Macaca mulatta: one gene and its partners. The protein of the gene in region 3 binds, or shares a complex with, the protein of the main gene of each other region. Links are inferred from orthologs where the notes say so. Each region holds a gene or a part of one and is shown on either strand. Other genes may lie near its edges.

Region 1 (4,104 bases), on a different chromosome or scaffold from region 3:
TTGATATATTTTTCAGGCTTCTGCATTCTGGCAAACCTCCTGATGCCACCCAGATACATGACTCATACCAAGAAACTGACTCTACTAGTCCTATGACTCTCACCTAGACAACTGACTCAGCACAGGAAGACAGTTTGGAAACACCTATAAATTCATCCCCAACCAATCAGCAGCACCCACTCCCTACCCACCTGCCCACAAAATTATCCCTAAAAACCACAACCTCCAAGCTGTCAGAGAGGTGGATTTTAGAAATATCTCCTATCCTGCCACTCAGCTGCCTTGCCTCCATTAAACTCTTTCTCTGCTGCAACTCCTGCATTCTCGATGTTTGGCCTTTCTGGGAAGCGGGCAAGAAGAACACGTTGGCCTGTAACAGGAGAATAAATAAGAGTTTGGCAAGCAACAAGAGGGTGCAGGTATTCTGTGTAGAAGGAATTGCAAGTGCAAAGTAGAAAGAGGAGGCATACTACCAGTTTGAAGTTGCTTGGTATGTTCAATGAAAAGCAAGTAGCTAAAAGGCAAGATAATTTTTTATAAAAAAAAAAAAAAAAAAAAAAAAAAAGGTATGGAAAAGGAAAGGCAAAAGCTAGACAGAGAAGTGCTTGTTCATGGAGGAATTTGTGTGCCACTCTAGACATTTTACTGTAGGAAATGGGGATTCTAGAGTTTTAAGGAGGTGAGTAAATCAACAGGCTGGGTTTTTAAAAATTCCTTCTTGTGGCAGAGAAAATAATGGATTGGAGAATTTCCAGACCAGACTGTAAAAGTCACTATTAAAATAATCAAGAAATGAGGAGATGACAAACTAAAATTTGATCTAGTGACCAACTGAATATGGGAGAAATAGGAAAGGGAGGAATGTAGGATAACTCTGATTTCTAGTTTAGGTTACAATATAGTAGTAGCAGTATTTAACTTGGTGAAAATAGGAGAAACCAGGAGGAAAGATAGCAAGTTCAGTTTTGGTCATATTAAGTTTGAGGGACCTTTGAGACAGATGTGTCCGGGAAGCAACTGAGTTAGGCATTAGTAGATCTGAGAGAAAAATTGAAATTTAGAAGCAAAATCAAAGGTGTTAATAGAATCCATGTGAGTGGACAAAATCACCCAAGGAAAATGTCTAGACTAAGAAATGAAAGTAATTAAGGAGTGAATTCCAAAGAATGACATTCAAAAACCAGGCACAGCCAGTAAAAGGAATTAATGACTATGAACCTCAGTTGTCACAAACAGACTAAGCAATATAAATTTTGAGAAGTAATTACTGTATTTGGCATTTAAAAGGCCTTTAGAAACTTAAGCAAGAACAACTTTCTTGAAGGCATTAAAGAAGCCAGACAAAAGACTTTTGTCTGTTTGATATAAGTAAAAATAATATCCTTTCAATAAGTTTACTGATAGATAGGAGGACTGGGAAATAACTGGATAAACACAGGATGGATGACATGGTTTTGCTTTATTTAATTTTCATAAGATGTGTGACTTGAGCACTGAGTAGAAGGAACTGAAGAGGAAGAGGCTGAAAGCACAGGAAAGAAAAAAGACAACTGGAAGCGAAATGTAACAGATGGAAGCAAATGAGATCAAAAGCAAAGATGGATGGATTATCCTTTAATATCCCTTTCTCTACACTAGAAATACAAGACTAAAGGCTTGGCAAAAATATAGATCAGTGTGTAGGTTGGGGGCATGAGGTTGAAGAATTGTTATACTCCATCATGTTTAGAAAGGAGAAATGAGAAGGGCAAAAGACAGGGTTTATAAATGGAAGGTTTGAAAATGTCTTTACAGAAAATGGGGCAGGGGAAAACTGGGGTAACCAAAAGGATTGCTGAGTAGTATGAAGAAACAAGGGGTGATGGGTGGGGGCTCTGTTTCTAAATTCGTAGCTATAACTATCTAAAGATCTTTCTATCTTCCAGTCCATTATCCATAAGTGCTTAAAAGACACGATAGTTAAGTGAATTAACTAGAACCCTGGTACTCTCAAACATGTGGGTGAATTAAAATCACCTACAGGTTTATTTAAAATGCAAATACCAAGCCCCATTCCTTTCATTCAGAATTTCCAGGGGTGAAGTCCAAACAGTGAATTGCAGAAGCTCTCCAAGCAATCCCAGGAGAAATTTCTGTTTAAAAAAAAAAAAAAGAAAGAAAAAAAGAAGAAGAAGAAGAAAGAAAAGAAAAGCAAGCACAGACCTAGAAGGTAAGCAACTGGACAGACGAGAGCTGATCCAACATACATCTGTTAATGGCCCTCGTGGGGGCGTGGGGCAGTGCTCTGCCACTCAGAAAAGCAAAAGGACTCCAAGATCTAGGGAGATTCAGATTAGTGTTGAGACAGTCACATACACACCACCCCACACTCTTAATAAAGCGCGTTAATGTGAATCTGTGAGCATGAAAAATGCCACGATGAACAATGAAAACACATAATGTTGTTCAAAACAGGTGATTAGACTCGATGCCTTACCCTGAATTTTCTGTTTCATTACTCTAGAGACTTAGTAGCATCAGTGGAATTCAGGGTGCTGTAAGAAATACGGAGAGCGAGTAAACTGCAGTAACAGCCCATGGGAAGGGGGAAAGAGATAATGAGGAGAAGGTCGGGAGGACAGGACAACTTTAAGTGCCCATCCGCCCGAAGACTTGGAACGCTAAGTAGCTAGGACCCACAGCCGTTATTCTGACATCCCCTGGCACTCACCATTGTCTCAGGATCTCAGCACTAGAAAATAGGTATCGTTGAGACAGGAAGACACCACCACCAACACCATCATCCGGTTACTCAGGCAACAGAGCACCGCCCACTGTCGCACGGTGCGTGGGACGCCACCGCCCCACCTCTTCGTCCTTAGTGGCTGGGAGTAATCTCAGCTGCGTTCATCCAATCGACAGGCCCGCCCCTCCACGCTGTCGCCTGGGGCTACGAGACGCCGTTTTTCTGTTTCCGGCAGTTTTACTTCCGTTTGTTTAACAGCTGGCCCGGAAGTTTAAGTGAATCTGAGGCTTGGGCTCCAAAAGTTGCTGTACAGTATTTTATTTTAAAGTAGACATCTGTCCGCTTTCCACTTACGGAGGCCTTACAGTGTGTGTTCTGTGTTACTTGAGTTTAAACTCACTGCAGAATGTATTTACCCTTCTCTTTTGGAAACGTATTCCGGAAGCGAAACCCTGAGTAATCGGAAGTGGTTAGGAGTGAGAGAGCTCCTGGATATGTGGAGGGCCTGGGCGGGCCGGCTTCTGAATGGAAGAGGTCTGTGAGAAGTTAGCCTGGTGATACCGATCCGAAGAGCCTATGAAGTGAAGTCCCCTGAAATACGGAGAATAAGAATCTTACAGGTAAATCCGAGGACAAGCAGGTATAACTAAGGATGTTGGAAAGGGACGGAGGTCTGGCTGGAGCTTGGTGGCCAGTAGCTTTGGATTTAGGGAACGATTGTTGTTCCGGGAAGGCTTTTTCAGACAGGAATGGAACTTCGGTTTCGACTTCCCGGGACAGCAAAGGTTGACAGACTTGTCGCTTCCCGGCCTATCGCTCTCATACCTGCTCACTCCCCCTACTTACTTCTTCACCCCCTCACCTTCATTTGGCATTTGCCAGCACGCACTCGGTGTGCCTGTATGTTTCGCAGAGCAACTATCAAGGGCAGTTTCAGGGATCGTTACTCTTACGAAGGGTTTTTTGGATACCTCTTTTCGGAGCAATAGACTGTAGTGTAGAAAAGTTTGTGACTGTTAAGAAAGTTAGTCGTCGGGTTCACTAATTGAACTGAGTTGTATCTAGTACTGAGAGCGATCTTTTTTTGTAGTGACACCAGTTGTCATCTAGTGTACAGTTTGTCATATTTATATCATTGCAGTAGCATCACCTTTTTATATGTTTTCTAGTAAATCTGAGTCTGTACTGTAGGCAGTGTGTACCTTTCTGAAAGCATGTGCTCAATATATGTTTCTCTTTTTACTTTTGGAGCTACACTATTTTAACTTTATTACCAAAAAAATATGAATTATGTTATCTTGAGTAATATTTTTTCTCGTTCGTTACACATCTAAACAGAAGCTCCTTTTTGATATGTGTGTGTGTGTCTGTGTGTGCAT
Region 2 (4,144 bases), on a different chromosome or scaffold from region 3:
CTCGGGGACTGAGGCAGGAGACTGACTTGAATCCAGGAGGCAGAGGTTGCAGTGAGCCAAGATCAGGCCACTGCACTCCAGCCTAGGTGACAGAGCAAGACTCCGTCTCTAATAAATAAATAAATAATTCAGAGAGGACCCTGCCAGGATTTGAGAGCCCACTTTTAATTTAGACACAATTCTAAATGGGAAGACAGTAGGATACAGAATTTTGCTGAAAAGAAGCTTTTCAATCTCTTAGAAGGGGCAAAACTTTTATATCAAAGAATCTTCAATGTTTAAAAAAAAAAAAAAAAAAAAAACGTTTTTGGCCGGGCACGGTGGTGGCTCACGCCTGTAATCCCAGCACTTTGGGAGGCCGAGGCAGGACGATCACGAGGTCAGGAGACCGAGACCATTCTGGCTAACACGGCGAAACCCCGTCTCTACTAAAAATACAAAAAATTAACCGGGCGTAGTAGTGGGCGCCTGTAGTCCCAGCTACTCTGGAGGATGAGGCACGAGAACTGCGTGAACCCGGGAGGCGGAGCTGGCAGTGAGCCGAGATAGCGCCATTGCACGGTAGCTTGAGCGACAGAATGAGACTCTGTCTCAAAAGTCTTTAAGTTGAGAAATACCATTTTAGCTCACGATGAATGACTTTCAAAATCCAATTATGACAATGGGAATGTATGAATGTGTGGTTTATCCCTAAAACAAAAAACTCTGGAACCACTGGTACAAGGGAAACACTGACATTAAGTTGGATAAGTCCTATCAATCTTAGTTTTATCTGATTCCCCCTATGACGAGGAACATGAAACATGAGAAAGGAAACTCAGTGTGCTAATGACAAAAACAAAGGAGGACAGGCCATGCTCATAACTCAAGGCCTTTTCGTTGGTTCTCTCTACTCAGAACCTTCCCCAGATGTTCAAACGGCCCTCCCTTACTCCATTCAGGTCTCTGTAAATATTTCAGAGGCTTTCCCTCACCTGTCTCTTCTATTTCTTTCTTTTTTTTTTTTTTTTGAGGCGGAGTCTCGCTGTCGCCCAAGCTGGAGTGCAGTGGCGCAATCTCAGCTCACTGCACGCTCCACCTCCAGGGTTCGCACCGTTCTCCTGCCTCAGCCTCCCGAGTAGCTGGGACTACAGGCGCCCGCCACCACGCCCGGCTAATTTTTTGTATTTTTAGTAGAGACTGGGTTTCACTGTGTTAGCCAGGATGGTCTCGATCTCCTGACCTCGTGATCTGCCTCTCTCTATTCCTTTACCGTACTTTTTCACCACAGTACTTATTGCTAATTAACATGGCTGGTTTATCATCTGTCTCTTCCACTAGAGTGTCAGATCTGTGGGAGGAATGACTTGTGCATCTGCATCACCAGCACTTAGCATAGTTCCTGGGAGGAACTTTGAGGACGGGGTTGTTCTCAAAGATTTCTTAGATAAATAAAGAGATAAAATGAAACTTTACAAAATGTAGCAAGAATTGTGTGAAGTCACTCATTTAATAGTAACACAAAATAATTCATGATTGCCCAAAGATTATCATAGAACATCCAATGAATTACACGCAGTAATTGTCATGAAGCATAAAAAGTCAAAATGCATTCCCAGTACTTTAAATGTAACTTTGAAGTCTTCCTTCAAAAACTGAATAACTTCTTTTCCACATTTTGGTCCTTAAGACGTAACACACTTGCTTCCATTACTCAGAAAACTCCCTCACGGTGCATACTCACTCTCTCCCCCACCAACCTGGCCAAAACACGGAGCAAGAAATGGCATCCTGTACCATTTATTTCAAAGTACCTCGGCTACAAAATGGTTTTGCCTACTGTATAGGATTAGTTTAGCTTATTAGTAACAATATTCGCCATGTGAACTTTCCCAGAATAGTTTTATATCAAATCCAACCCTCAACCCTTTAAACAGTAGAAAATATGGCAGATAATCGTTAACACCCCATTCCCATAATGCTCAAGCCTGTTAAACTTTCCTAATGAAAAGGGACGATGATGTGACTCTCCAGCACCCCGCACGCTCCTCCGCTGCGCAGCCGCTCTCTCCACCCCACACAGCATGAACCCAAAGGCACGCAGAGGCGCCCTCCCCTGGCGTGTGACACCAGAGAACCGGGATAAATTGGCGAGCTGGCATTCCTCCCATCCTCACTGACGGACCCGCGCGCGGAGTGAGCGGTGACTCAGCCCGCTCCGGCCCGGGCTCCGCCCTCCCGCCTCCCGGCCCCGCGCTCTGGCCCCGGCCTCGGGCTCTCCACTCCCTCCGTCCCGGTCCCGGCCCCCAGCCCTCCGCTCTCCTCCCTGGCTCCCTGACCCCCGAGCCCCAACCCTCCGCTCTCCTCCCCGGCTCCCTAACCCCGGAACCCAGCCCTCCGCTCCCTCGTCCGGGCCCCACGTCCTCGGCCCGTCCCCAGCCCTCTGCCCCGGCCCTGCATCCTCGTTCCTCCAGCCCCGGGACGTATTAGGGCTGCACGCGCAGGGAGTGGCCCCCGGGGTGGGTCTGCAGGCCCCGCGTCGCCCGGCCCCTCTACCTTCGCTCCTGCCCAGGATCCTGCAGCACAGGTTCTGCAGCAGAACGTTCGGCGACTTCTGGTCCGGGGTCGCCATCCTTGCCCGGGACTGTGCGCGGGGGTCTGGGCAGAGCCGCCACCGCCGCCGCAAGCGCAGGGACTGCGGCCCGCGCCCTCCCTGCGCCCCTCAAGCTCCCGGCTCCCGACAGGCTAAGGCGCGGGCGCCGCCGGCCACCAGGGCGCCATTTTAACGGAACCCGCCGAAAGCGCGGGCGCTTCCCACAATGCCCCGCTTCTTCCCTGCGCCGCGACCGCGCGTGCGGCTGCCTAAGCGTTCCCGGCCCTGCCCTGCGTATTCCCCCGGCTGCTGCCCGTCCGGCCGGGAAAGTTCCGGGCGACAGGTGGCCCGAGGCCCTCGAGCTTCGCGGACAGAGCGGCCCTGGAGTCGCGAGCGTCACGGGCTTCCTTGGAGAGCACTTGGTGGCCGGTAGCACCTTAAAGGCCATAATTTGGTGTGTTTATATGGGGGCGTGTGTGTTAACGGTATTGGTTTGATTCACGCTTCTGATGAAAGAAGCCTGTTTAAAGGGTGCAGGGGGTTATGCGGTGTGGCAAGTCACCTGCTACTCTCCAGCAGGCGCCCTGCTCAGGCCCGACCTCACACCGCCGCGCAGGCCGCTCCCCCAGGCCCGGGTGACTGGGACGTCCTGGGAAAATAAATCAATCACGTACAGAGTGAGAGAACAGGAGAAGACCTGCCGAGAAAAAGATCGATAAGCGGACAATTACACCAAGCCATCTTCAGTGCAATCGTTAAAGCTTACACATGGGTGCACGCTTGGGAGCCGTGAGCTACCATGTTAAAAGGCCAACTTCCTGAAGGAAAAATGATGGAAAGAGATCCCGAGATCCCATGAAATGGAAGAGGGAGGACAATCCAGCTATCCCAACATCCCAGCTGAGGCCAGCCACACATGTGACTGTCTGCAAAGCCCGTCGGGCCTGGGTCCAGCTCTGGTTGCAGAATTGTTAGCAAGTAAAACATTTGTTGGCGTTCTGACTCAAAAACATGGAGACAAAGCAGACTTGTAGGATATTACAGTCAACAACTAGACCCTGCAGCTAAAGGACTGCCTCCTTGCATGAAGCAACAACCATCACAGCTCTGCAAGAGCAACCAAAGCACCAAGGATGCCATCACCCCTCACTGCTTTCGATCCACATTCTGTGGAAGCGCTTCTAAACCTGCACCACACTCAACACGATCAGTTAGTAACTGGCTTCTTATGAAGTTATTCTCTCAGCCCCATACTACAGTGTCCAGATGTCATCTACATTCTGCCAGCCTCTCCCCCACCTTCAGCTGAAACGCTGCATGACTGCATCATCTTATCTGACCAGCTGTCTCCTAGGACAGACATACAAGAAACCCCCCTCACTAACGCTGATGTTATTTGGTTTACAGATGGCTGTTACTTAAAGGATGCAGCTGGAAGGTATTACACTGGCTATGCCATAGCGCCTTTGCCCAAAGAAATAGAAAGTGCTTGTCTTCTAGGAGCAACCATCTCAACAAGCAAAGTTAATAGCATTAATTAGAGCATGTCAGTTGGCACAAGGAATAACTGCT
Region 3 (2,397 bases):
CTCTCTGTGGTCTCCCCAGAGCCAAGCACAGTGTATGGCACATGTGGGTACTCACGGGTTTGTTTACTGCCCTGCGTAGTCTGAGAGTATCTCATGATGCCCCAGAAACAGTACTTTTCTTTCTGTTATTTTTTATGTATATTTTTTACAGAGATGGCATCTTGCTGTGTTGCTTAGGCTGGTGTCCAACTCCCGGCCTCAAGTGATCCTCCCACATTGGCCTCCCAAACGGCAGGGATTACAGGCATGAGCCACCACGTCCAGCAGTACTTTTTTTTAAACTAACAAACCTACTTCTTGGCTTTGGAGTTCAGCAGGGGCTAAGCCAATATCTTATTTCTATGCCCATTTTATCCTCAAGATGCTGTGACCCTCTTCTGTCCCCGTAGGTGGTGCTGGACAACACAGCCCTGAACCGGATTGCCACAGACCGCCTGCACATCCAGAACCCGTCCTTCTCCCAGATCAACCAGCTGGTGGGCCCCCACTCCTGGACTCCTTTGGACTGGAAGCCCTCCTTGCTGGAGGGTCATCTGGGGAAGGAAAGTCCCAACCAGGCCGAGGCCCATGACATGGCACGCCTGTCCCCAGGTGTCCACCATCATGTCTGCCAGCACCACCACTCTGCGCTACCCCGGCTACATGAACAATGACCTCATCGGCCTCATCGCCTCGCTCATTCCCACCCCACGGCTCCACTTCCTCATGACCGGCTACACACCGCTCACTACGGACCAATCAGTAAGAGCAGCCTTCAGTGTCCCAGGCCAGGCCGGCCCTGGGCCCAGCAGGCCCTGCCCTAGCCTTTCTGTCTTCCCCACTGCCCCAGGAGCTGCCCTTTGCGGGCCCCGAGGCACTGTGCTCAGGGACTTTCTTGCTGACTTGCGCTCTACCCTCCCTCTGCCTTTGGCTTCTGCCAAGGAGAAGCCAAAGGGGGACTCTGCCCTGAGCGCTGGCCGGGTTCCTGTCTCACTGTCCCATCAGGTGGCCAGCGTGAGGAAGACCACGGTCCTGGATGTGATGAGGCGGCTGCTGCAGCCCAAGAACGTGATGGTGTCCACAGGCCGAGACCGCCAGACCAACCACTGCTACATCGCCATCCTCAACATCATCCAGGGAGAGGTGGACCCCACCCAGGTAGGGGAGGCCCCTTCATCCCGCACCCTGGACCCGCAGGGGTAGAGGAGAGGCCACCTCCACTGCTCGTGTGCCCACCCCAGGTCCACAAGAGCCTGCAGAGGATTCGGGAACGGAAGTTGGCCAACTTCATCCCGTGGGGCCCCGCCAGCATCCAAGTGGCCCTATCGAGGAAGTCTCCCTACCTGCCCTCGGCCCACCGGGTCAGTGGGCTCATGATGGCCAACCACACCAGCATCTCCTCGGTGAGTCTAGGTTTCTGTTCTTCTCAGGAAGAGTCTGTTCCACTGGCTACCTTCATCATCTTCCCCAAGTTCACTCCTAACCCCCTGGCTCGCATTTTGGAGATTTTCATCTCTTTCAGCTCTTTGAAAGTTCCTGCCAGCAGTTCGACAAGCTGCGGAAGCGGGATGCCTTCCTTGAGCAGTTCCGTAAGGAGGACATGTTCAAGGACAACTTTGATGAGATGGACAGGTCTAGGGAGGTTGTTCAGGAGCTCATTGATGAGTACCATGCAGCCACCCAGCCAGACTACATTTCCTGGGGCACCCAGGAGCAGTGATTTCCCTCCCCACTACTCCTGGATGGGAAGCACAGCCTCGACCATGCCTGCTCCCTCTGACCCAACTTCACCTCATGGACAACCCTTCTTGGTTCATCTCCAGCCCATGAGCTTCCTCCTGCTTCCTCCCTTCCATGCCCTAACTCTTGATATGCTTGTTCAGCTTTAATAAAGTAATAAAGCTTGGTTGTCAGTATAGCCAGGGCTTGATCTGTGAATACAGGGGGTGGTGAAGGGGTCCAGTTTCTAGGCCTCTGACAGTAGGGTGGCTTTCACGTCCTCCAACGTCTTACCACTAAGTCCAAATCTTAGTGTGTTCACTGTTTCCACTGGCATCCCTCACCTTGAACTAAGCTGTTTTACTAGAGTCAGCCCTTGTCTCAAGATTACAGAGCTTTACTGAGGTTTGCTGTCTCCTCAGTGCCTAAGGTTTGCCCCAGTGAGGGTCAATGTTGCCCCAACCTCTTCCACTCAAGGCAGAGGAGGTGGGGTCTACCGAAGGAGGGCACGCTACATTACGAGCAGGCCAGAAGAGCCGAGACTCCAGATTCCCAGTGCCCAGGGCCATGAGAGTTCCAGGAACTCAATCCAGTTCAACCTAACCTGATTAGTAGAAACAGAATTCAAGAGTAGGGCTGAGCACATCCTGAGTTACTTTTCTGTGCCAGAGAAATTCATGGGTTTGTTATCTGCCCCAA
Region 4 (3,500 bases), on a different chromosome or scaffold from region 3:
AATACTGAAATTAGCTGCGTGTGATGGTGCACGCCTGCAGTCCCAGCTACTCGGCAGGCTGAGGTGGGAGAATCACCTGAGCTTGGGCGGTCGAGGCTGCAGTGAGCTGAGATCACGCCACTGCACTCCAGCCAAGGCAACGAAGTGAGACCCTGTCTCAAGAAAAAAAGAAGTCAGTTGCTTCACCTCCCCAATATTCAACATCCTTGGTGTCTTCTCAACACCTGCGTCGTCGTCTGCGAATCACCACGTCCGAACGACCACTGACCACGTGGCTCCTCCGTGCCGGTGTGGGGAAAAGGCAGGACGCGGGTAGGCAAACAGCTCCGCACGCTGCACAGCAGCGACGAGAGGGAGGACACTGCCGCGGCGGCGCTGGCCAGGTGGACGCCCACACTGTGAGAGGCACGGCGGGAACGTGGAGGGCTGGCAGCCGCCTCGTGCTCACAAGGTCCTGATGCTTTCCAAGGCACGTGTCCTCATCACACACCACTCCAGGGGTGTTTTCCAGAGGACGCTGGCCCCAGGTCATGCAAGGTCCCGTGGTGTGGCACTGGTCAAATCGTGGGGTAAGGGCTGGACAGGCCCTGCACGAACACCACGGTGAGCTCCATTCTCGAGTCTGCACAGGTGGCACGAGGGGGCGGGGACAGTGCGGACAAAGGGAGGCGAGGCAGGCTCGATGCCGGTGGCATGCCTGGGACCTGTGGCCGTGGGAGGGAGGTGGGGCAAGGCCGCCCCTTCCCTAGGGCGCTGAGTGTGCCGAGGGCACCCGCACCCTGACCTGAGAGCCGGCTGCAGGGTTCACAGCCAAGTCCCACACACTTGCTTCCAATCACCGCCATGCGCGTGGCACCCAGCATTATTGGACACAGCCCCTTCCCTGGATGGGGAAACATGGGGGGAAAGCCTGAACACCCCCCTCGGTGCTTCCTGCTCCAGAAAGCTGGTTCCGCTGTGCTCCACTGCTGGGATCTCGGGCACCAGGGACCCGCGCGTCCTTCTCTGAAGCCTCCCTGGGCATCATCAGGAGCTCTCAGATGCCCACTGCTGCCCCGGCCGCCCGCTAAATACCCGCTAAGGGAGTGGCTCTCTCTCCCTAACTCTTCACAGTTGGATTATTACTGAAAACACACTGCACAAAGCAGACTGTTTTCTTTTTTTTTGAAACAGGGTCTTACTCTGTTGCCCAAGCTGGAGTGCAGTGGCATGATCACAGCTCACTGCAGCCTCGACCTCCCAGGCTCAAGTGATCTCCTACCTCAGCCTCCTGAGGAGCTGGGACTACAGGTGCCCGCTACCACACTCGGCTAATTTTTATACTTTTTGTAGAGACTAGTCTTGTCATGTTGCCCAGGCTGGTCTCGAATTCCTAGGCTCAGGTGATCCACCCACCTCACCCTCCCTAAGCGCTGGGATTACAGGTGTGAGCCACCACGCCCGGCCAAAGTAGACTGTTTTCTACACTTTTCATTAACTTACAGCAGAGTTCTGTTTGTTGGGAATGAGGAAAACAGGAGGATTTCATGTCACCGTTCTCCAGGGTTTCTGGCAAAGGCAAGGGTTGGCCTCTCGGTGCCTACACCGCAGAGCTGCGCGAGCAGTGGGAAAGCAGATCGCGTTCCACGCTGCCTCTTGAGTTTGGACTAATAGGCAGAGGCAAGACAAGCAAGACAAGCAGGTATCTCTGTCCTTAAGTTCGTGAAATCTCATTTTTCAATCTAAAAATGTACTTGACTAGGTGTGGTGGCTCACGCCTGCAATCCCACACTTTGGGAGGCCAAGGTGGGCAGATCACCAGAGGTCAGGAGTTCATGACCAGTCTGGCCAACATGGCAAAACCCCACCTCTACTAAAAATACAAAAATTAGCCGGGCGTGGTGGCACCTGCAGTCCCAGCTACTTGGGAGGCTGAGGCAGGAGAATTGCTTGAACCTGGGAGGTGGAGGTTGCAGTGAGCCGAGATCGCACCACTGCTCTCCAGCGACAGAGTGAGATTCCATCTCAAAAGAATTAAAAATAGATAAAAATGTACCCATGAATTGTGACAGATGAACACACCCCGGGTCCCCAACAACATGCCTTGAAATGACTGTGCGGTCTCACTTGCATCTTGTTTACACGAGCACTACTTTAAGAGGCCTCTGGGAGCAGAATCTATGGGAGTTATGAACCGCTGTTCAGAAGTAAGTGCTGCACACAATTCTGGTGCCTGCAGGTCTGCACCAGGGCACCAGGATGCCAGCTGGGGAGGGGCCTGCTGTAGGCTGCCCCACAGCTCTGGCAGGAGGGACGGGAGAAGAACCCTCAAGGACCCAGGGGAGCCACTTTCTGCTGCCACCCTGGGATAGGAATATGGAGGCAGCGGCCAGTCAGCATCGAGCCTCACAACCTGAGGAAGGGCAGGCCCAGGGGAGGGCTGGGCCTCAGAGTGTCCTGCCCAGGGGCCAGAAATAAACCCATCACATACCTATCGGCAGAGCCCGGAAATAAACGCATCACGTACCTATCGGCAAAGCGGTGTCTGTGCTGATGCCAGCACCAATCAGGAAATCCCCGATCAGGGCAGGTCTCTCATACACCCACGCTGGGAAGACAGGGAGGTGCTGGCCCGAATTTTTTTTGTTCTGCTTGTCTCGAAGCATCTTTCTTTTAAGTTCCAGAGACTAGCAAGGACATTTTTAAAAACAAAACCAGAAAGATACACTTTAGTGCAAACACTCAAGACACCTGTAGAAACTAACATCTACAGCAAAGATGATTAGTCAATTTAGCACCTACAAAGAGTCAGCCACACAGAAATGAAATGCAGCTCGATATCCCTGCCACACGAGGGGCTGGGGAGAACAGGGCAGATGGGGAGCCCCAGCCCCTCCTCTCAGGAGTCCAGGTCCAGCAAGGGCCCCCTGGGAAACCATGGGCACCAGCAGTGGGAACCACAGGAGAGGGGGCACCTTGGCACAGAGCCGCTGTTTCAGAGGAGGGTGCCCCATGAACAAGCTGAATTGCTTCTTCCTGGCAGTGACTAGGTCTGAACACCACTTGCTGGGTGAAGACAGGTGTTAGCAATAGACTTGCGTCCTTACCCTGCTGGAGAACGGCCCCAGCGCGACAGGCTGGCTCCTGACATGTGGTCAGAGCGCCTGCCCTCCTGTGCCAGTGGCCGCCGGAAGCTGACAGGTCGGCCTGGGCTGGCCCAGCTTTCGGAAGCACTGACTCCCACTCAGGGCTGGTCAGGCACAGGGCAAGTGCAAACTGTCTCTGCACGTGGCAGCACGACCCAGTCTCCTTACGTGCCACACACAGCGCGGCGCCAGGGCTGAGGGAGACGTGAACAGAGGCCTAGCACCATGTCCAGCACAGAACGTGCCCAGCAAAAACCGGCCAGGCCCTCAGGAGCCGCTGTACTCAACATGCACCACAAGGCCAGGAAGCCTCAGGGACACAGCTCCAAAGGGAGCTTTAAGGTCACAAAGGCAGGAACGTCGCAGCTCCAAGGA
Region 5 (3,500 bases), on a different chromosome or scaffold from region 3:
CTCATCCTTCTGAGGACCTTGGCAAGTAGAGCTGAAAAGCCAGTTTCCTATAGCCTCAAATTTGGAAGCCAATTTAAAAACTCTGAACTGTCCAACGAGTCACCATTCAAGTGTCATTGAACAAAGAACTACGATCAGCTGTCTACCACTCCTGTGCCGTGCAGAACGGAGTCACACACTTCAGGCAGAAGTCTCACATACGGTTTGCTCAGAGGCTTCTCCAACATCGTCATATTCAAGAATGGCCTTGTACAGGGTGTTGAGCAGGTGAGAGGCCCGGACAACATTTCGAGTATCAGGTGGAACTTCTGCTACTCCAGTACTAAACACTTTGTGCAAAACCTTGAGCTGAGCCAATCGAGGTGCCAACTTGTCCACCACTATTGCAAGAGTTATTGTAGCATCTGCAAATTTCAACAAATCAAACTCAATAGCAAGAAAAATACACGCATCTAAAACGTGACACAAATGCTGGCAAATCACCAGGCTTATGGACAGGCAGGGCAAAATGGAGGATGGTGAATTTTGATCTCACATCACAAGGACCTAATTTCCCTAAGGAAGAACTCCTGCAAGTCACGGAGAAAAAGAAAACTCAGCAGAAAACTAACATATAAAGGAACTGACAGTTCACAGAAAAGGAAAGATAAGTGATTCTAGAACATACAGAAAGTCACTTGACCTTACTTAAAAAACTACGCCAGGTAAAACAGAACACCTCCAACGGGCTGATGTTACAGTGAGGGGTGAGAGAGGCTGTGCCTACAAAGGGCTGCAGAAGCAGGTCCTGCGAGGTGGTGGCACAGCTGTGACCTTAACATGGAAGTGGCCATGTGGAGCTCGACAGGTGATAAAAAGACCCGGAACCATACACGAAGATACCACACCCACCCCTGCTCAAAGCAAGTTGCAAGTTCCTGCAATGCTGGTGAAGCCGTGTCAGGTCTGCAGTTTGGCTAATGTGCTGTGCCAATGTCAGTTTCCTAGTTTTGATTATGTACTGTCACTACGTGAGGTTTTCCCACTGGGGGAAGCAAAGTCATGGGAACACAGGGCCTCTCTGTGCCATTTTTTGTGGTAGTTCAAAATAAAAGTTAAGGGGAAAAAAGCTACATGGGTTGCTATTTTACAGCTGTCATACTGGTGAAGACCAAAACCTCTGATAACACACAGATGGCAAGAGTGTGAGGAAACAGGTATTCATCTACATGGCTCACAAGAGTATAAATCTATTTACCTGCACCTCCCCATAAAGTGGCAAAACTTAGGAAAATCAACATGACCCAGCAATTCCATTTATAAGAACCTACCCCACATGGTTGGATGTGGTATAATCCCAGCTAACACCTGTAATCCCAGCATTTCGGGAGGCCAACGTGGGCGGATCACCTAAGGCCAGGAGTTATAGGCCAGCCTGGTCAACATGGTGAAAGACTGTCTCTACTGAAAATACAAAAATTAGCTAGGCATGGTGGCAGGTACTTGTAATCACAGTTACTCGGGAGGCTGAGGCGGGAAAATCGCTTGAACCCAGGAGGCGGAGCTTGCAGTGAGCCAAGATCCCGCCACTGCACTCCAGCCTGGGTGACAGAGGGAGCCTTCATCTCAAAAAAAAAAAAAAAGAACCTACCCTACAGATAACTCACTGCCTGTGTACGATTACGGATATGTAGAAGTGATTATCACTGCAGCACTGCTAACAATAGCAAAAGCCTGGGAAGAACCTAAATCCATTAAGGGGACTGGGCTATGTTACAACCATATGATGAAACACTCAATCTGTAAAAAGGAAAATAGAAGCTCTTCACATTTGTGTGGTATTATCCTCAAAATTTAAATCAGAAAAATTTGAAGAGAGCAGTGTAATGACTGCTAGGTATGCGTATATGTATATGCACTGCTTGTGTATGTTCAAACTCTTTCTGGGAGGATGCGTAAGAAGCTGAGGACCTGGCTGTCTCTGGAGAGGAGAACTGACTGGCTGGGGTACTGGTGCAGGAAGAATAATTTAGATTTTTCACTCTAAATCCTCTGTAGATTTTTGATTTTTAGAGATATGAATGATTTAAAAATACAAATTTAAAATAATTTTAAAAATGAAGCATTCACGAGAACTACTTATTTGCTAGGCAACTTTCAATCTTACATGATGAAAAATCTAAATGGCATTCAAATTATAAGTTACGTGTAGCACGAGTAAAGATGAGGAACATTTAATACCATTATTGATGATGCACTTCTCGATTTCTGCAAGTTCCTCTTTGAAACTAATGAAATATTTGTACAGGGCCCACATGAAAGCCTGGTAGGTTCTAAAGGGGGCTTCAGTTGACTTCTTAGGAACAGACCCACTTCCAGGCAGCATGCTCTCGGAACTGTGTCCCATGACTTCATCAATGAACTGCTGGAGTCGAAACACAACCTGGCCATATGCTGCTATTTGTTCCAGCACAGATCGTAAACAGCTCTACAACAGAAGCAAACTGCAATTACTCAAAGGTGGCCTTCTGTAAACTTTCAAATTCATTTCCCTCTCGCTGTAAAATATTTCCTTTGCAATTATTTTAAACAGTATGTTTAGTAGAACACAAAGTAATAAAATGATTAATATTTAGGTTTATACGCAAAGGAAAAAGAGCAATAATTTCAATAGACTAGAGAATTCTGGCTTATATATATATATATATATATATTTTTTTTTTTGAGATGGAGTCTTGCTCTGTCGCCCAGGCTGGAGTGCAGTGGCCGGATCTCAGCTCACTGCAAGCTCCGCCTCCCGGGTTCACGCCATTCTCCTGCCTCAGCCTCCCGAGTAGCTGGGACTATATAGGCGCCCGCCACCACGCCCGGCTGGTTTTTTGTATTTTTTAGTAGAGACGGGGTTTCACCGTGTTAGCTAGGATGGTCTCGATCTCCTGACCTTGTGATCCGCCCGTCTCAGCCTCCCAAAGTGCTGGGATTACAGGCGTGAGCCACCGCGCCCGGCCCAGAATTCTGGCTTATATTTTAAAAAAACATACATAAGGTAAATGTACTTAAAGCAAAAAAAAAAAATTACAGTATATAACTTTCACAATACAGAATGACAGAATTAAAAGCACAAAATGCAAATTGAAATTAAATATGTCCAGCCAGGCGTGGTGGCTCACGCCTGTAATCCCAGCACTTTGGGAGGCCGAGGCCGGCGGATCATGAGATCAGGAGTTCGAGACCAGCCTGGCCAACATAGTGAACTACCGTCTCTACTAAAAATACCAAAAATTAGCCGGGCCTAGTGGCGGCGCCTGTAGTCCCAGCTACTTGGGAGGCTGAGGCAGGAGAATGGCTTGAACCCGGGAGGCAGAGCTTGCAGTGAGTGGAGATCGTGCCATTGCACTCCAGCCTGGGTGACAGAGCGAGACTCCGTCTCAAAAGAAAAAAAGAGGCCGGGCGTAATCCCAGCACTTTGGAAAGCAGAGGTGGGTGGATCATGAGGTCAGGAGTTCTAGACAAGCCTGGCC
Region 6 (2,362 bases), on a different chromosome or scaffold from region 3:
TGTTTTGAATCTTCTGGTACAAACTTGGGAACGTGGCTGTTATTTCAGTTTATGAGCCATAACTTTTCACATCCCGAAACTACAAAAGAGAAAAAGAGCCTTATTAAGTATCATGCTTTCCCAAGACTGCCTTCAAAGAAATATGAATCAGGACAACCTGTGGTCTAAATAATGTCGTCTTAAAACAAGAGTTTCTTTTGACTCTTCTGCTAAAATAGCTTAGAAAAAAGTCTACTTGCAGACATTTGAGAGAGAGAAAGGACAATAAAGTGATTTTCTGAATGGGAATGACAGAGCTCTGGGAAGCCAGCTACCACTGAATCTCACTTAAAGTTTAGAGTTAGAAGGGGTGGTCCCCTCCTTTCACCAATGTGGAAGCTAGGGACCAGCAAGGCGGGGTGCCCACGGCTGCACAGCTAGTTCATATCAGAATTGGGAATGGAAGGCACACTGCCTCCCAGCATAGCAATACATAACCTAGCAAAGGACTTAACACCTATCTCACTGTCAGGTTTTTTAGTATTTTATGATGATGATGATGACTTCTACTAGAAAATAATCTTCATTAAAATTATTAAAGATGGTCACACCTCTATCTCTAAACCTTGTTTATATAAAATGAGCGTATTTGGACTATATGATGGCTAAAGTCTTCTTCCAGCTCTAGAATTCTGCAACTCATTAAAAAGTCACCCACAAAAGTCTACTGAGTTACCCAAGGGTTGCTCCTACCTGCCCAGAGTTCCACCAGCCTGGGTATAGTATTTGTTATAATCTAGTCGTAACAGTAGTTGAGCCAAATCTGAGTTGATCTGATGATTCCGAACACTGGAGAGAATCTTGAATAGGAGTGAAGACTGGCGGCTAAAGCCCTGCAGAGAGAAGGACTCAGCTGTCATTCCACTTCAGCTCACCAACTCTCCATATGGAGGATGGGGGCGGAGGGAGGAGTTTCTTGGAAAAGCCTTGCTCAAAATTCTACAGAACCACCTGGCCTTCCCACATTCCTATTTCTATTAGTTCTTAAAATGACTTGTACCAAATCCATACATGCATGACTTCCTATGAAAGTACTCTTTCACCAGTAGGAATTTAGTAGCTGGTTTCCAGTTAATGTATTTTGTCAAGTACTGGGGTTGGGGAGAACCCGTTTTGATTACAAGCAGATAATTATCTCAGTGAGATAGGGGTTAGTTCAAGGAAGTAAAGAGGGGTAGGATGTGAGGAAGTTAGAACAAAGCCAATGCTTATTTGATGGGCTGAATAAACTATTCAGGACTGAACTATTTTTGAGCACTCTGAGGTAGCACAGTAATTACCTGATTCAAAATCAACTGATACCAACATTTTTATCTTTATATCTTATTTCTGTACGTGTGTGTATTGAGGAAATGCTTTACTGACTCAGAGGAAAGATCATGAATTCTCCATTGACAAAACCACCTCTGTCCTTTCGGCAAGGCTGCATACTTCCAGGCAGACGCACCTTCACGAGAATGCTCAGCTGGGCGGCTCCACGCTCATCCAGTGGGCCTAGGTTCTGACTGACCAGCGAACAAAAACTGTGACAGAGATCTAGGATTTCATTCAGGCAGTGAAACACCTACCCAGGAAACAGAGTTGGCATTAGGAAAAGAAGGAAGGTACGTCCATGAAATTAAAGATTTGGGAGAACAGTCTGATTAATAGCTGACCTCCCAAATCTGAGAGGATAGACACTGTCACTTGCAAGGCCTGCCAGCCCCTCAGACATACAATATGTGTAAAACAAATGCATCCTTTCCTGCGTACACGAGTATTACTCTCTCAGCCCCGCACCAAACCTCCATTCTAGCCACATTTAACTCTTCATTTCTTAGACCCGCAGAGTGTGTTCCTGCCTCTGAGCTGTGAGTGTTGTTCTCTTTGCCTGGGATGCTCTTCTTTTTAATACCAGTTCAAGTCCCACTCTCTCAGTGAAGCACTCCCTTCCCCACTGTAGCCTTTAGTGAACCCCGTTTCTTGCTTCTTTATTATCTGTACTGTTGTCCACTTGGCAATTGTTCAGGCCTCTGTGTTGTTAATGATTTCTGTATGTATATATATGTCTTGTTTTTCCAACTAGATTGTGAGCTCCTTAAGGGCAGAGCCATGAATTATACCTCTTTGTATCCCCAGTGCCTTGCATACAGTAAGCACTCAATAAATATTTAATGATGATGACCTGCTCTGATACTCGGCTTTTCCCTATGGATACATCTATGCCACATAAGGACAGCATCGACCCATCACAGTAGTTCTTGGTTGTTTTCAACCAGCCCTCTGAAATGGCATTTATTAATATATATCTTCCTCTTCCTGGGCAGCAGAAATAGCCCTAAAC

The links.
Region 1: TUBG2 (region 3) and NME7 share a complex: the UniProt entries of both Homo sapiens proteins name them as parts of the gamma-tubulin ring complex. The link is inferred for Macaca mulatta from reciprocal best matches to the Homo sapiens genes TUBG2 and NME7.
Region 2: TUBG2 (region 3) and TUBGCP3 share a complex: the UniProt entries of both Homo sapiens proteins name them as parts of the gamma-tubulin ring complex. The link is inferred for Macaca mulatta from reciprocal best matches to the Homo sapiens genes TUBG2 and TUBGCP3.
Region 4: TUBG2 (region 3) and TUBGCP2 share a complex: the UniProt entries of both Homo sapiens proteins name them as parts of the gamma-tubulin ring complex. The link is inferred for Macaca mulatta from reciprocal best matches to the Homo sapiens genes TUBG2 and TUBGCP2.
Region 5: TUBG2 (region 3) and TUBGCP5 share a complex: the UniProt entries of both Homo sapiens proteins name them as parts of the gamma-tubulin ring complex. The link is inferred for Macaca mulatta from reciprocal best matches to the Homo sapiens genes TUBG2 and TUBGCP5.
Region 6: TUBG2 (region 3) and TUBGCP4 share a complex: the UniProt entries of both Homo sapiens proteins name them as parts of the gamma-tubulin ring complex. The link is inferred for Macaca mulatta from reciprocal best matches to the Homo sapiens genes TUBG2 and TUBGCP4.

The regions. Positions count from the first base shown.
Region 1 is NC_133406.1:26,870,609-26,874,712, forward strand, and holds the start of NME7 (nucleoside diphosphate kinase homolog 7), read right to left. Parts: upstream 2,801-4,104; 5' UTR 2,714-2,800; coding exon 2,711-2,713; intron 2,535-2,710; exon of another isoform or gene 2,477-2,534; intron 1-2,476. UniProt on the Homo sapiens protein: Possesses an intrinsic kinase activity. Displays 3'-5' exonuclease activity with a preference for single-stranded DNA. Does not seem to have nucleoside diphosphate kinase activity.
Region 2 is NC_133422.1:106,857,395-106,861,538, forward strand, and holds the start of TUBGCP3 (gamma-tubulin complex component 3), read right to left. Parts: upstream 2,801-4,144; 5' UTR 2,612-2,800; coding exon 2,536-2,611; intron 1-2,535. UniProt on the Homo sapiens protein: Component of the gamma-tubulin ring complex (gTuRC) which mediates microtubule nucleation.
Region 3 is NC_133421.1:67,018,198-67,020,594, forward strand, and holds the end of TUBG2 (tubulin gamma-2 chain), read left to right. Parts: intron 1-389; coding exon 390-476; intron 477-591; coding exon 592-741; coding exon of another isoform or gene 742-750; intron 751-984; coding exon 985-1,137; intron 1,138-1,220; coding exon 1,221-1,382; intron 1,383-1,501; coding exon 1,502-1,699; 3' UTR 1,700-1,897; downstream 1,898-2,397. UniProt on the Homo sapiens protein: Tubulin is the major constituent of microtubules, protein filaments consisting of alpha- and beta-tubulin heterodimers. Gamma-tubulin is a key component of the gamma-tubulin ring complex (gTuRC) which mediates microtubule nucleation.
Region 4 is NC_133414.1:145,393,266-145,396,765, forward strand, and holds part of TUBGCP2 (gamma-tubulin complex component 2), read right to left. Parts: intron 2,667-3,500; coding exon 2,507-2,666; intron 147-2,506; exon of another isoform or gene 77-146; intron 1-76. UniProt on the Homo sapiens protein: Component of the gamma-tubulin ring complex (gTuRC) which mediates microtubule nucleation.
Region 5 is NC_133412.1:1,333,723-1,337,222, reverse strand, and holds part of TUBGCP5 (gamma-tubulin complex component 5), read right to left. Parts: intron 2,468-3,500; coding exon 2,221-2,467; intron 405-2,220; coding exon 202-404; intron 1-201. UniProt on the Homo sapiens protein: Component of the gamma-tubulin ring complex (gTuRC) which mediates microtubule nucleation.
Region 6 is NC_133412.1:20,787,586-20,789,947, reverse strand, and holds part of TUBGCP4 (gamma-tubulin complex component 4), read right to left. Parts: intron 1,604-2,362; coding exon 1,487-1,603; intron 873-1,486; coding exon 733-872; intron 80-732; coding exon 67-79; 3' UTR 1-66. UniProt on the Homo sapiens protein: Component of the gamma-tubulin ring complex (gTuRC) which mediates microtubule nucleation.